Drosophila melanogaster: one gene and its partner. The gene in region 1 interacts genetically with each later gene. Each region holds a gene or a part of one and is shown on either strand. Other genes may lie near its edges.

The links.
Region 2: of Buffy (region 1) and Pink1, changing one suppresses a phenotype caused by changing the other (phenotypic suppression), as found in Drosophila melanogaster (2 studies listed by BioGRID).

What each region holds. Positions count from the first base shown.
Region 1 is NT_033778.4:11,676,171-11,684,649, reverse strand, and holds the start of Buffy (buffy), read right to left. Parts: upstream 5,159-8,479; 5' UTR 5,064-5,158; intron 486-5,063; exon of another isoform or gene 141-485; coding exon of another isoform or gene 1-140. Other genes in the region: CG13196 (uncharacterized protein), read left to right, coding at 1-140; Tret1-2 (trehalose transporter 1-2), read right to left, coding at 6,752-6,936, 6,997-7,282, 7,339-8,124, 8,313-8,438; Roc2 (regulator of cullins 2), read left to right, coding at 6,285-6,444.
Region 2 is NC_004354.4:6,682,204-6,689,742, reverse strand, and holds Pink1 (PTEN-induced putative kinase 1), read right to left. Parts: upstream 5,903-7,539; 5' UTR 5,673-5,902; exon of another isoform or gene 5,616-5,672; 5' UTR 5,282-5,615; intron 5,226-5,281; 5' UTR 5,187-5,225; coding exon 5,022-5,186; intron 4,958-5,021; coding exon 4,172-4,957; intron 4,109-4,171; coding exon 3,095-4,108; intron 3,031-3,094; coding exon 2,830-3,030; 3' UTR 2,705-2,829; downstream 1-2,704. Other genes in the region: CG3184 (uncharacterized protein), read left to right, coding at 1,003-2,073; CG44303 (uncharacterized protein), read left to right, coding at 2,378-2,380, 2,441-2,704; Fum2 (fumarase 2), read right to left, coding at 6,113-6,372, 6,433-7,237, 7,321-7,524.

The sequences.
Region 1 (8,479 bases):
CTCCAAAGGATCGGGATATTGAGATTGGAGATTCCGGTATCAGGGAGACATCCAAATCTTTAGCTCTCTTTGGAAGTTTGGGATTTGTGGTGATGCTAATGGGTGTTGCTGTTGTGGCATTGTATAAATTTGGAAAATAGTTCAATTTGAATCTTAATTTCTTTCCATTATTTCTAACTACATGAATATACCCCTTTTAAGACAGAAATCCTTATCTAATTTGTGTATAAGTGGTTTCCCTGCTTACCCATCCATTAAAAGCAGTCACAAAACGCCATCAATAGCAATCGTATCTGTATCTGAGGCGCCAATCTTGAAGTGACTTTTATCTATCTGGCTGCCAAGTAAATTGACTTATCGCCACTGCGAAATCAACAACGAGCCAATGTTTGCCCATTTCGAGATTAAAACAGAAATTAGCACTTAATAAAATGTAATTTATGTTCATGTCGCCAGTGATTGAGCGGACCTGAGAATAAAATCTTAAAAAAAAAAACAAAAAACAAGTGTACGATAGATAGCTCAAAAAGCCAGTAGGCAAACCGATTTCCAAACTGCGCGCTTAGTTCGCAAATTGCAATCTGTGATTTAGTTATGGCCAGATAGTTGTGGCCTAAACCGAAATTTTATCACGTTTTCACGCTTCGAGCGCGGCTAATGAAACCTCGTTCACAGTCGATTTCGGTTTTTGGCTTTGTTATTTGGTGCAATTTGTTGACGGTTTTCGTATATGATAATCCATCCATCTGGCTGGCTGACAGTTGGCGCTTAATGGGCATGAAAATCGCAGCCAATTAGCCGTTGATTTCAGCCGCTTTTGCTCGATGGGTGGCCAAAAGTCTAGAGTTACAAGTTAATTACCCATTGGGGCTTCAGGAGATACATACATACATAGGTATTTCGGAATTTGTTTGCTAGCTGGGTGGCATTGTGATAAAATGGTCATCGTGAGATTCTTCTAACTTAAATAGTTGAAAAAAAATAAATAAATAAACAAAGACTTTGTTGTGTGATTTTTTATATTTAAATATTCTATTACTACTTCCGTAACTTTTAACTAGTTCAAATACATTTCATTTGCAGTTTTTCGTGGCTGCCAAATGAAATTTGTTGCGCATTATATAAGCGATCATTAATATATTTTGAAATTAACTTTCCATAACGCAAACTGGCCTTTTAGCACTTTTCGTTGACCTAACCCAAGCGTAGATGCATTCCCACACAGCTGAGATCATCATTCACAGCTCGACGAGATGCCCCCAATTGCATCCCCATCTCCACTTTGGGGAATGTGGCGCGATGTTTTTACAGGCTTCGCCAGCGATGTTGGCTAATTAATAATCCCAACGCGTTCCGGCTCGAACACAAATAGATTTGGTGGGCCAATCGGGGTAGGGGGCGGAATCTTGGAGCTTGCAGGCGAGGCTACTTTGTCTTTGTCGCCTAAATGGCAGGCAAAATGTTTGCCGAACATAAATTAATGTCGTCCCCAACTGGCGCTTAAGTTCGTGTTCGATTTGGCCGCAATCCGTGTACTCCACTCTATAAAGTGCAGTCGATGTAAAGCTCCCCCAGTTGCCACTCATTTCTTTCGCCAAAGTGGCGGCTGCAATTTACACTCTTCATTCAGCATCCAAATCGGCCGAATGGGTATGGGGTCCAGTAAGTATGTGTGTGTGTGTGTGTGTGTGGACCTGGCCTTAACAATTTTGATGTCTGCTTAAATTACCGACTACTTAGTGCCCAGTTTAGCAATGCCTAATAAATATTTATGAGCGCACTTCATTTTAGCCAAGTTTCAATGGACAAGCAAAACGCAGTTCTATGAATGGATATCGATGTTCATGACTGGCAATCGTCGATTTCGCTGCTCATTAAAGGAGTCGGCACAACTCGAAAGGTTTTAAAAGGGAGCAGATCAAGTTAATTAAAACATTATACTTAATCAAAACGGGAGCAAGCAACTCATTTTTTTAGGTTTTATTTCAAAGTTCAGTGCAAGAAAAACGAGAATTTGGATAGAAAATCTTGAAGCTCAAACTAAACTCCTAAAAGATCAAATGTATAACGATTTATGATAATTGAATTGATGTATGTTCTATAGTAAGAAAGAAATTCTTTATATTAAAAAATCCAATAATTAAAAATGAAAAGAACTTCGAAAACCATAAATTTGAAAACATGTCATAATCGTATGTCATATTTCAAATGCAAGATTATATATAATACTTCTTAAACCACGAAACATAAAATGCTTAGAAAATGTATATATGTACATATATGATCTCTTTCTTGGTTAAGCAGTTAATAACTTTTATTATTTTTAATTTCATTTTTAATATGCCTGAACTTTAATTTGTATACCTGTATTTTCATAAAAATACAGCAATTTAAAGGAAATAAAATAGCCTTTTAACTTCTAGACAGCCTACCCATTTGATAACTTCTCCCTCGGCGATTCAACTTAACTATTTGCAAATTAATTGGATTACACAAGCTGTTATTTATTTATGCACAATTAGTGCAGTAAAACTGCTCTCTCAACACCCAATTATTAATGCTTTCCGATTGGCCGGATCACAAAAAATATAACTAAATCAACAACTCGGAATCGGCGAGTTGCGCGCACTCATTAGCAACTTTTATTAGCCAAAAGTGTCAAATGCTTTATCTCGGGCTTGGATTGGCCCAAACCGAGTTGCCTTAAAGCGTCGCCAGGCATTTCATTTCATTTCATTTTATTTGATTTCATTTTTTGTTTTGCCATTTTTTGCCAACCTTATTGGCCGCTCGACTCGTTTTTATGCGTTTTTAGCATTGTGCGCATGTTAACATTTGTGTTATTGATTTTTTACAACATTTGACAGTTACGCAGACTCCGTATTGGAATTTCGCATATCTTTTTGTATCTCTCAGTTTGTTTGCTTGAATCAAATTCGCGGAGCGCATGACAAGCGATTTGGAGCAATTTGACTTTCGACTGCTGATTGGTTAATCAAATGTGGGTTCATTAAATTGCCATTTTTTTTTTTTTTTTTACATTTAATTGCATATTTGATCGCCGGACCGAAGTGACAGCGCATAGTAATACTATATCATAAACGACACATAAAGTGCTTGCAAATAGCCGCAATCTTGCGGTTTTACTGCTTTTTGTTGTATTATTATTATTTCATTATTTTTTGTTGTATTATTTGTGGCCATTCGGCTTGAAATGAAAATGGGAAATTAGCAGACGGTAAAACGCCTCTGTTTGACATCGTTTGCAATTGGAAATTTACACCATCCTCAGACGTTACAGGTGGCAAACATTGTTCAGTTCATTAATTGTTGATTTTGCACTTTTTCAACCATTCAGCCGCCAATGTGCGTCATTCAAATCGAACGTGCACGGCGTTAAAGCCAAGTTAATATGGTCTAAAGGGAGGGGCAAGGGGGCGCAAGTGCTTTTCGCCAGTTAATTGCATTTACTTCTCGAGGCTTTGTGGCATCGGGGGCATGAAGTGATCTTGTTCGAAATCCCTAAAACATTTGCACTCATACTTGGAAAATGGGTGTTGCAATTGAGCATTTATTGGCATTTTTAAACATTAAATAAACACACTTTTGTGATGGAATTTGGTTTTTAAATATACCAGATAGTTACTTTTGAAATGAATTATGACATTCAAATCTTGAATATATGTACAACCTGTTAAAATATGCTTTCTGAAATTTATATGTACATGTTCGAAACTTTGCTATAGTTTCACATGCAAAATTTTAAACACTTTTGTATATACTCGAAACTGCTCTAAATGAAAATTTACTGGTAAGCTGTGGAAATTTATCGATCTAGCTTATAAGGAAAACAAAACTGCCTTTAAGAGTTTGATTTTATTTTTTAGCGACTAGAGTTCCACTTTATACGATTATAGATACACCCACAAAGTGTCACATTTACCATCGATATCTCTGAGATACAACACCCCCATATGTACATACACATGTACATATATCTATAATTTTCGCTTAAAAATCATAAACAATTTAACCGAATAGACCCGGTAAATCAAAGTGTCCAATGCCTTTGTCAATAAACATTTGTCGTTCCACTAATTGCCAGCGACCAACTTACAAACAAACAAACAAACAGAAAAGCATGAAAAAACAAGAAAGAAATAGCAGAAAAAAAACCAAAAATCATTTATGGCAAAGTCAATTGCGCTAGTGCTATCTCTTTCGCGCGATGTGGGTGGAAGCATTACGTTGATTATCCAGCAAAGCCAACAACAAAAGCAACAACAACACACTCACACACGCACACAGAAAACAACGAAATTTAATTAAATTAAACTTGCTGTTGGCCTGTTTCTCCTTCAGCTGCTACTTCTTTATTCCGGTTAAAAAAAAGGGCGTTCAACTCAAGGGTTTTATTTTGCAATTATTGATATTTATCCGTATCGCTTTTGACACTCATTTGTGTTTAAGTCTACGAAATGACCTTTATCTGTTTAAATTTTCATTATTTGTTACTTCCACATTTGTTTGCGGTTGTATTAAATTGCACATTTTCATTAGCCACAGGTGATATTTGCTCTTAATTGGCATTTAACACGTCGTCATTTTGTAAGGCTTATGTAGATTTTACATTTGCTATTTGAAAATTTATTGCTTACTGTGAAAAACAACTAATTTCTCCACATTTATTTACTAAAATACCACTCCCTTAATCGGCTTATCGCACATTTGGCATCGGATCGCATTGATACGGGATGTTTATCTTTGATTGTCGGATGCGCCATTTGTGCTGATAGTGATAATGGGTCATTTGCCATTATCTTTTTCAATTTCAGTTTACGATGGGCGAATAATAAGGCTGAACTGTTAGATTCCGGCTGAGCGGCATGGAAATTACTTAATTACTTATGCGGGGCGCGTTCTGGTTGGCAACGGAATCGGAATCAGGTTGCTGTATATTCACGGTCAGCTTTTGTCGTTCGAAGGTTTTCATTTTAAAGTAATCACCGGAAACCGCAAATAATTTATATTGTCAAATTTGTGTTAGTGCATTGGAAACCAACCGTTTATTTCCCAACGCAAGCTGAAACTTGAGAAGCGCGGCCGAAAAACGCTGCCGCAAACGTTCCGCACTCGTCGAAGGCTGAAAATGAATTGAACCGAAGTTGAAGTAAGCGAAAACCAAATCACAAAACAAATTAACCGCCTTATCGATATTTAATTATCGGTCGTCGATAGGTGTGTCCGTGCATATAAGGTGAATGTATCCCCTAAATGGCTGTGGCAACACTGAAAATAGTTTTCCCTTGTTTTGGTGTGGCCACACTGACTTTTGGCTTGCTATTGTTTACATTCAATTATTTCGACTTCTTATTTGTTGGTAAGTCAAACCGGCGGTTCCTTATCATTTGCCCGAAACTAAGCAAGAAGTAGGAGTGAGGTTAACAACTTAACGAACACTGTGATAACCTTTCCTTCGTATACAACTGAGAATGGCATTTCTTTGTTCTCGGAGGAAGAAGTAACTTTTTGGCAAGTTGAGCAAAACATTAAAATTCGTATCAGCCACTTGCTACGAAAGTAAATTACATTTTTACCAGGGATAAGTGAGAGGCTTTATAGTCTATCCCCCTATTCCGCAGCTACCAATATTCATAAAACAAAAAACAATCAAGAAGAATGCGCTTAGTCGAATGGCTCAACTATCAGATACCCGTTACTCTGTTCCCTAATACTAATATACCGTTTGTTCGTAGAATTATCGCCACCAGTTGGAAGGAAGCAACACCTGTTGATCATTTTTGAACTTTTCTACTTGTAGCTCTCCTACGCCTATTAAGCATATTTTTCGAGTAATATTCCTAATATTTGTATAATTACCTTATTTAAAATCCTAAACCTGAGTTACGTACTGATGTCCGGACCTGGTTAGACCACTTTGCCATTTGCTAATAATCAATAACTAAGATAGGTCCGGTTTAGAGTTTCTAATACCCTATAAATTAACAGTTAGAAAAATATTTAAAAACGGGGTCGAATAAAACTTAAAATTGTTTACCAAATAAAAATAAAAACATAAAACATTAAAGGGAAATTAAAAATAAAAGAACCTTAAAAAATTAATATATTGTATTGTAAAATTAAAAAACATTTTTAAACCGCTATTTGTAATACTAATTAAAATCTCCCATACAGGAGGATATACACAAGAAACAAAAAAAAAATATTAAAAAACCGAATCTCATTAGCCCAGTGGATTGGTCAGTTTCCCAGACTTTTTTGACATGGCTGATGATCCAGAAAACTCAGTGGATAGGCCCACAGACGACGGAGATGCCGGCAAACCGGAAAAAATGTTTACGCTGAAGAAATGGAACGCAGTTGCAATGTGGAGTTGGGATGTGGAATGCGATATCTGTGCCATTTGCCGTGTTCAAGTTATGGGTGAGCAATACCACTGATTTCAAAACTCTAATCTTGAGTATTAATAATAATAAAAGGTCCTACATATGTAACAATATGTAACTAGAATATTATTATACTGGTGTCTTTGTTAACACTATCTTGTGCATATCGCAAGCGAAAATGTTTTTTACTCACATATACATAAGTGCCTAAAAACTTTCAATTGGTGTATTTTTCAACGGTAATTTTGATTTATTGCGCTTGCCTAAAAATTCACAATTTAAGCACGAAGACACCACCCTACTATTTGGTTTGAACGCATCTCAGATCCTTAGCAACACGCCATTTACATGTTGAAAGGAAATGGCTTGATGTTGACCACCGAGGACATGGGCACACGGCCCATCATCTTTCGCTCAATTTCCTCCAACGACTTGCCCCGCGTTTCGGGCACAAAAATAATCACAAAGAACAGACCCACGATGCAGATGGCGCCGAATAGCCAGAAGGCTCCATGCGCGCCCATAGCAACTACACACAAAAATATTAAATATTATTACACCACTTATTTTAGTTAGTTGCACTACGCACCCGTGAGGTCCTGGAAGGTCTTGGTTACCACAAACGTGCAGAACCAGTTGAAAGCCGTGACCACCGATGCAGCCGGTCCTCGAATCTTGGCTGGCAGAATCTCACCCATCATCAGCCAGGGAATGGGTCCGAAGCCCAGGGAGAATCCCAGAATGTAGATAACGAAGCAAGTGAGTGGCAACCAACCCAAATGGGACACATCCGGACCATGCGCCTTGCAGTAGAAGAAGCCGCCCAGAATGGACAGGGTCACGATCATGGCGATGTCGGATACATACAGAAGAATCTAAAAATTACGATTAGTAAACAATGATTTTCATTTATATGCATCTTTAAACCCACCTTTCTGCCCAACCGATCAATCAGAATGATGCCCATAAACGTAGCAAAAAAGTTAACTACACCCACGATGATCGTGGAAAGATTGCTATCAATTGTGGATCCCGCATCCTTGAAGATCTGGACCGTGTAGAAAATAACCGCGTTGATACCGCTGAACTGTTGAAAGAACATCAGACCCAAGGAAATGGAAAGTGGCTTCAGATTGTTTCGCTTAAACAGCTCCAAACAGGTGTTCTGAGTGGCCTGACGATCGGCATCGGCCTGAGATTGCATCAACTCCTTTAGTTCGGGCTCCACATCCGCCTCCTTGCCACGCAGCCATTTCAAAGCCTTCCTGGCGCGCTCTTCCTGACCACGGTTCACAAACCAGCGCGGAGTTTCGGGGATAATGATCATCAAAATCAGGAAGGGAACGGGCAGAGCAGCTCCCAAGAAGGCCAGCATCGACCAATTCATAAAGGATCCCGCCACATAGCAAACCAGGATGCCTATGTTACCAAGAGCGGTGGGCAGCAAACCCAAAGTGCCCCGCACTTCCGGCTGCAAAGTCTCACCCAGGTAGACGGGCAGGGATAAAGAGGCAATGCCAACGCAGAATCCAGTTAGGAATCGTCCGCACAGAATCATGATCACATTCACAGCACACGCAATCAGCAGTGATGATACGATGAAGGGCACCGCAGTGGCCAGGATGGTGCTGCGCCTGCCCAGATATTCGATCAAGGGTCCTCCTGTTATGCCACCTGCTAATGCAGCCAGTGGCATGATGCCACCAACCCAGGAACCCTGCAATAGTATAGATTTCAAGTGATTGGATAGGGGTTTAGCTTCGTTTGGGAATAGAAATCCGATTTTCGCTGGAAAAGTGTGCCTTTGAAACGCTCTGTTGAAATTATCTGAATTATTCAACATATCACTGGGACTTATTAGCTTCGAATTAGCTTATCTGCGAACAAAGAGTTAACAAAACTTACAGCATCTTTTGTGACCTCAAAGGAGGTGATGGTCCGATCGGTCATCGACACAAGTGCAGGCGACGTGTAAGCGCTGACAAATCCGACCACCAAGGAGCACAGCGAGACACTCAGAGCAGCCAAAACCTGGAAATAGGAAGGAAAACGATTTTAATTTGTAAGGCTCG
Region 2 (7,539 bases), on another chromosome or scaffold:
GCTAGCCAGGCCTCCATTTCCGCCGGAATATCAGGCGTTGGACGCACAAACGATGGAGATATCTGCGAACAGTAGGGATTGTCTATAGTTATCAATAAGCGTATATTTTTTTTTAATCTGTTTTTTAAAGTGTTAATGTACTTCAATGGTAGATTTTGTAAAAAGTCAGAGTAAGCGGAGATCAAGGATCAAGTGCAATACGGATGCCTGGCAGGCACAAAAGTCCACCGGAAACCCAGAAAGCTAAATGAAATGAAACACTGTGACGCCCCGAAAGCCACTGAAAATCGAAGAAATGCAGCTAAAATAAAAAGATAACTACGATCGATGGTGGAGATCCAACTAAACCTAATCCAGAATATGTAGCGCGTAAACAGAGCACTAAGTAGTTGTATGTATTAACTATTAATTTTTTAAATTAGCAAAAAAAAAGCAAAAAAAAAACCCAAAATAACAAATAAATCTAATAAGATCGAAACAAAACGGTCAATGGCAGCGGTGTATGGGATGTATGTGTGGTCAGCCAGTGGCTATCGGTTATCGATAGCAAATGCAGAGGCGAACGTGTTTTTGCATGTTGCACGTCTGGCGCGCACATGACGCGCATGACGCGCACCACATCCGCTGGAAATTTTTTCCAAAGGCAGCCTTTCTTTCTTTCTATTCCTACTCATTACGGTAGTGGTTGTCAGCGTGCAGGTGATGGAAAAGCTCTGGAGGATCTGTATAAAAATCATAATTAACTTTTTAAAAATGTGTTCATATTTTTTCACATTTTTATTGGTTTGGCAATTTTCTATTGATTTGCAAAAAATCTGTTTTCCACTCCTAGATTATTCTTCGTTTTACTGTTTGTCTTGCAGATTTTTATCAGTAGAAGCCCAAAATAACAAATAAATCTAATAAGAACAAAACAACACGGTCGATTGGCAGCGATGTATGGGACAGATGGTCAGCTAGTGGCTATCGGTTATCGATTGCTGATAACATCTTTTCATAAACATGTTTACAACGCTCCACAGCGAGGATACGGAATATTCGGCAGATTCTGTGGAGTGGCTGACACACGATGATGCGGCAACGGGTTTCTTTGCCTGCGGCACCTATCAGTTGGTCCAGGAGGAGGACGAGCCGGCGGCGGAGACTTCAGCCAAGCGTCCACGCAAGGGTCGCGTTTATTTATACCAGTTTGAAGAGGAAAACTGCCGCCTGGAGCGGCTACAGTGCATCGAAACGTCTGCCATTCTCGACATGAAGTGGCTGCCGGCCTGGAGCAGTGAGTGTAATCCCCACCTGGCCACGGTCAACTCTTTAGGCCAGATGGAATTGTACGAGTTTCTCCAGGATGCGAAGCTACTGCAGAGGCGTACGTGTTTTAGCCTGGCGGAGCAGGATTCGTCGGAGGAAGCGCCATTGGCGCTGGCCCTAGACTGGCAACATGACGGGCAGCACATCCGACTGGCCATCTCCGATTCCAAAGGCGGCCTAAATCTATTGAGCTACTCATCACAGGGTGAGATAATCCGCGAACGGTCGTGGTTGTCCCATGGCTTTGAGGCTTGGACCTGTGCCTTTGATCGTTGGTCACCGCACATTCTGTACAGTGGTGGCGACGATATGCTGCTCATGGCCCACGATCTGCGCACCAAGCAGCGTGCGTGGACCAACCGGGCGCACATGGCTGGAGTCACCTGTCTGCTAAGTCATCCGCGGCACGAAAACCATCTGCTCACGGGTAGCTATGATGAGCAGTTGCGTCTCTTCGACACCAGATCGATGAAGCGATCACTGGCGGAACTGGACTTGAGCGGAGGCATCTGGAGGCTGAAGCCGCATCCTGCCCAGCCCGATCTCATCCTGGCCGCCTGCATGTACACCAACTTTAGCGTGGTGCAGCTGGATGTCGCGGCACCTGGCCTGAGTTTACTGGGCGCCTATGAGGAGCATAAGAGCATCTGCTACGGGGCCGATTGGGCACCATGGAGAAACAAGGACGATGCGTCCTTGACCATGGCCACTTGCTCCTTTTATGATCACACGTTGTGTGTGAGTCGCGTGGATATTAACAAATGAATTCGATATCTGTATATTATGTTATGTGACTAAAAACTAAAAGAAAAATAAACATTTGCTGGCTTATGTTTTTCAACTATCTATAGTTTGTATAATAGTTTGCGGAAAAAACAGAATTGTTCATGGCATTTGGGATATCCTAAGTTTTCCAAAACTAATTTTAAACTGCCAACATCCCTGGCAGGCGATATCGATAACGCATGCAATCGGCTCAGCCCTGGTGCGGTTATCGTAAGTTCTGTCAGCGCATTTTCATTCGAAGTTTGCGAATTCAGAGAAGTGAATGAACTTGAACTGTTTAGTTATGGTAAGTACTAAACGTAGAGATCCTGCTAACTTTATAAACTCCTCATTCTACTCCGCACAGCATCCCCCACAAAATCCAAACAAGTTGGACGCCGAGGATAGCCTGGATCAGGCTATAGACAACATCGAAGACTCAAACGAGGCCAATCTCTATAAGCTTATCGAGCTGGAGGAGCAGAATGTGGCCTGGGAGAAACATCTTGCGGAACTCCAAATTATGATCAGGCAGGTGATGGAAAAGCTCGACAGGAGTTTGGTCAAACAGGAGGCGCTGGTGGCGAAAATGCAGAAGCTGAAGAATCAGAAAGATCAGGAGGGTCAATAATTATTGTACCGGAGGCGTGCTTTTGGCGTTAATTTTGATTTCATTTATAAATACATATGTAAAATATAGGTATCACACGCTTTTCCATTTGATTTTCTCAGAGTAACAAGTAGAAGGCTTTTCTCCTACGCCACCACATTCTGGATCCAGTTGAGGGCGCCGCGAATGCGACGCAGCCGGGCGCGTGCCAGAAAGCTGCATATGAGCAGGTACTCCACATAGGCGCGCCTATTGCCACAGCTGGCCACTGGCATCAATCCGGCGCCCATCTGTGGACGACCCTCGCACATAATCTTAGTGGTCAGCGAAAGGAGCCACTGTAGGATCTGTAAAAAAAAATCATAATTAGCTTAAAAGGATGCTGATGTGGTATCAAACACTGCGACCCACCTCCGGACTGTTGGGCATGCCGCCCGCCTTAAGCCAATTGGATGGGGCCCAGAGGAACAGCTGCACCACATTTGCCGCAATATCCGGACTGACCCGCTTGGACGGGTTGGGATTGAGGATGTTGTAGACCAGCTGTTGCAGCAGCGGCGGGCAAGCATCGCTCATTGGCGGCAATTGGTCCTGTCGGTAATCGCTGTTCCTCAGCGAAAGCGTCATCTCACCGCGTTCGCGCGCCATCCCACCGCTGCTCGAATAGAACGGATTGCGGTTGCCAAAGATTTCGTAAGCCAGGGCACCGCAAGCCCACAGATCGGCCTTGCCATAATTGAGTACGGCAAACGGACCGGGCATCGTATTGAAGATCTCTGGCGCCATCAACGCCGCATTGCCGCCCTTGTCGACGTCGTGCGAAACGTACGGCAGGCGCAGGCCATGCACCTTGTCCGCCAGACAACAGCCAAAGTCGGAGAGCACTAGCACCGGCGCCGCATCGTCCTGCAGCTCGATTAGCACATTATCAGACTTTAGGTCACGATGGGCAACGCCGTGACGGCTCAAATGGTTGACAGCCTCGAGCATTTGAGCCAGCAGCAGGATGCGATTGCGCGTGCTCAGATCCTGGCTATCGAGCAGGCCGCGAAGACTGTGATCGTAGCGTTTCATCAGCAGATACAGCGACATATTGCGGCCATAGCCCTGTGGATTGATGCGTTGCGGCTGCGCCACCGGATACAGGAGATGGCCATCGGGAAAGTTGCGCACCTCGTCGCAAAAGAAGCCAAACATACAGACAATGTTCGGATGCCGCGGCAGGTGAACAGTTTGATTCTGCAGCAAACGTTCCCACTCATCGGCGGCCTCATTCATGCCGCGCTGGCGTGCCGGTACCGTCTCCTTGTACATGGCACGCAGTATGGACAGAGCGTTGCTCTGGATGTCGTAGTTGAACATCATTTTGAGTGCCAGTGGATAACTGTCCACAGAGCTGTTGATGTTTGAATTCGCTGGAGAAGTCTGCAAGTTAAAGCAAAGAGCGTGATGGCAAGTTGCCATGCAGATTTAAGCTTACATATTTACCACATTGAAGGCACTGCTGCTGGGCTCCTGGTTCTGATGCTGCTCTTGTTCCTGATTCTGATGCTGCTGTTGCTCGTGGTGCCGCTGGTCCTGTTCCCTCGACTGGGCGCCCACGAAATCACTGGCCGCAGATGGCTGGCTGTAGTGGAAGACGTTGTCCACAGAGCCGCCAAAGTTGTGAACAAAGCGCGACATGTTCTGCAGCGGCGACATCATCTCGTGGGTACTCCAGCTATTCGGCGCAAAGGCTGGCGTTGCCTGCGGCTGCGCATCGGTATGCAGGGATGCACCATCCGAGGCAACATCTTTCTTGAAATCCGCTGCATAGACGACAGCGGCACAACCTTTGGCTATGGGCGGACCGATTTCCAAGTCATCGATGGTGAACTTGCTGTCTAGCGTATCGGAGATCTCGTCGTGATTCCAGGCGTTCTGCAGCCGGCTAGCTGCCTCCCGAATCTCCCAGCACACGCCCTCCAGTTCATCCTCCTTGCTGAGCACACCCGATCCGGAGGCCAGACTAACGCCAATCAGGGCGAAGAAGGGCGCTGAATCGCCAAAGAATAGCTTGCGGGTAGCGCGCTGGCGCAGATCCTCCGAGTAGGTGGTGGTCACCCGGCTGAGGATGTTGTCGATGAACAATTTGCGCGCATGCTGGCCCACTCGGAAGATTCCACTGCTGCTGGTGGGGCTACTGCCGCTGCCATTAAACGGTGATCCCGACGGGGAGTTGATGGTGCGGGGCACTACATTGACCACCGATTTGGCCGCCTGCTGGGGCGTTGTCTGGCGAAGAGATTGGATGCGGGTTAATTGGACATGCCTTGATCATCCGTTTAGCTTGACTTACCCGCAGCACATTGGCAGCGGTGGAGGGTAGGGGAAAGCCTCGCTTGCTTCTTGTCTTCAATTGATTCTGGTCCAAAATGTTGGCGTGTATATCACGTTTACAATAGCTGCGCAAAATGTAGCGACCATGTTTGATCAGTCGCACGGTCAGCAGTCTCACAGACATCTTTCGGCCCGCAAAGACCTCGGCTCCTAGTGCCTGCAACTGAATGAAGCACCTTAAACGGTCTGTCATCTATTAATTTAATTTTTAATTTTTACCTATTCTTTAAGATTTGTGGTGCTTAACTCTTGCTGCTGCTTCCTCTTCTTCTCCGCCAATTTTGCTCATGTGTGCGATCGATAGCGCCGATTTATAACCAAACAGCTGCTGTCGTTTCGTTTCGGTTCGGTTCGTTTCGATTCGATTGTTTTGTTTTTGCGTCGCAAATAAATTTTCTGTTTGTGGGTGGTGGTGGTTGTGGTGCAGCTGCGGGGCGAAGTGTGGGGGCGGTGGTGGCAGAACTACAAGGCGAAATCGTCGAATCGAAAGGGTTTATTTTTGCAATGATTATCCAAAGATATATCGCCTTTTTCGATATCTGTGTGGGCTAGACTGATTTTGGGCTATTTTCAACTGAACAAAACGATTAATTTACGACCTCCAACTTGCCTGGCAGCCAATTTTTAATGTAATGCGCCTACTTCAACGTTTCGTTTCGATTCGATTTGGTCGTTAGATAATCGCTGGTCAGCTGGATCTTTTCATTTGTCACGGAAAATGTGCGCCGCAATAAACACTTGTTTAAAAGCTTGCTTTGCTTATATTTCGCTATAAAATAATAGCTAAGTGTGCAAGAATTTACGATAAAAACAACGGAATAATTTAGAAACAGCAAGGCGTTAGTGTGACCACACTTACGGTATATCTTTAGAATCGATAATGACTATCGCGTAGTGTGGACTCGAATCATTTGGAGAATTCAAAAACTAAAAACCGTTATTCACCTGCCGTAAAATCAACAAATTAATACAATCTATTGAAATATCCTGCTACACACAAAAATTTATTACACGAAACTAAAACAAAATCGTCAATAGCCGCACAGCGAATCACTTCGGTCCCAGCATCTCCTTGGGATTGACCCACTCCTTGAACTGCTCTTCGGTAATTCCGGTCTTCAGTGCCTCCTCCTTCAAGGTCGTCTTATTCTTGTGCGCCGTCTTGGCGATCAGGGCGGCCTTGTCATAGCCAATGTGCGGATTCAGCGCGGTCACCAGCATCAAGGACTCGTTCATGATCTTGTCGATCCTCTCCTTGTTGGCCTGCAGTCCCTCCACGCAGTTCTTGCTGAAGGTCATGCTGCCATCAGCTGGGAGGAGAAGGTTATGTATGCATGTTTTTCCACTTGGAAAACACATTTCCGACTCACCCAACAAGCGAATGGAGCGCAGCACATTGGACACGACCAGGGGTTTGAATACATTTAGCTCGAAGTGCCCGTTGGAGCCGCCGATGGTCACCGCCACCTGATTGCCCATCACCTGGGCACACAGCATGGTCATTGATTCGCATTGCGTGGGATTCACCTTGCCGGGCATGATGGAGCTACCGGGCTCGTTCTCCGGCAGCATTAGTTCGCCCAGACCGCAACGCGGACCCGATCCCAGCAATCGGATATCGTTGGCGATCTTCATCAGGCTGACGGCGATCGTGTTGAGCACACCATGCACCTCCACCATGGCATCGCGGGCAGCCAGTGCCTCGAACTTGTTGGGCGCCGACACGAAGGGCAAGCAGGTTAGCTCCGAAATGCGCTTGGCCACCTTCTCGGCGAATCCCTTGCGTGTGTTCAGACCCGTACCCACAGCAGTGCCGCCCAGAGCCAGCTCATAGACGCGCGGCAGACAGCCCTTGATCCTTTCCAGACCGTTGGTCAACTGCTGTGTATAACCGCTGAATTCCTGGCCCAAAGTCAGCGGAACTGCGTCCATCAAGTGGGTGCGTCCGATCTTGATGATGTCCTTGAACTCATCCGACTTGGACTTGAGGGCATCCCTCAAGTGTGTAACCGCCGGAACAAGCCGCTCGTTCAGCTCCATGCCCACCGAAATGTGAATGGCCGTGGGGAAGGTGTCGTTGGAGCTCTGCGACTTGTTCACATGATCGTTGGGATGCACCGGCTTCTTGCTGCCCAGTTCGCCGCCCATCATCTTAATGGCCGCATTGCTGATCACCTAGTAGGTTTGCCAATGGCATGGGGCAGGAGAAGCATCCAGCTATACACATTTCTCTCGTTAGCCCTATCTAACAATCTTACCTCGTTGGTGTTCATATTGGTCTGGGTGCCCGAACCGGTTTGCCAGATGACCAATGGGAAGTGACCCTGTTTGTATAGCTTGCCGGAAATGACATCGTCGCAGGCGCAGGATACGGCATCCGACACCTTGCCATCTAGTCCGTAATCCTTGTTGACCTCGGCACATGCCTTCTTCAGTATGCCCATGGCCTGGATCACCGGCATCTGCGGGCAGTTTGG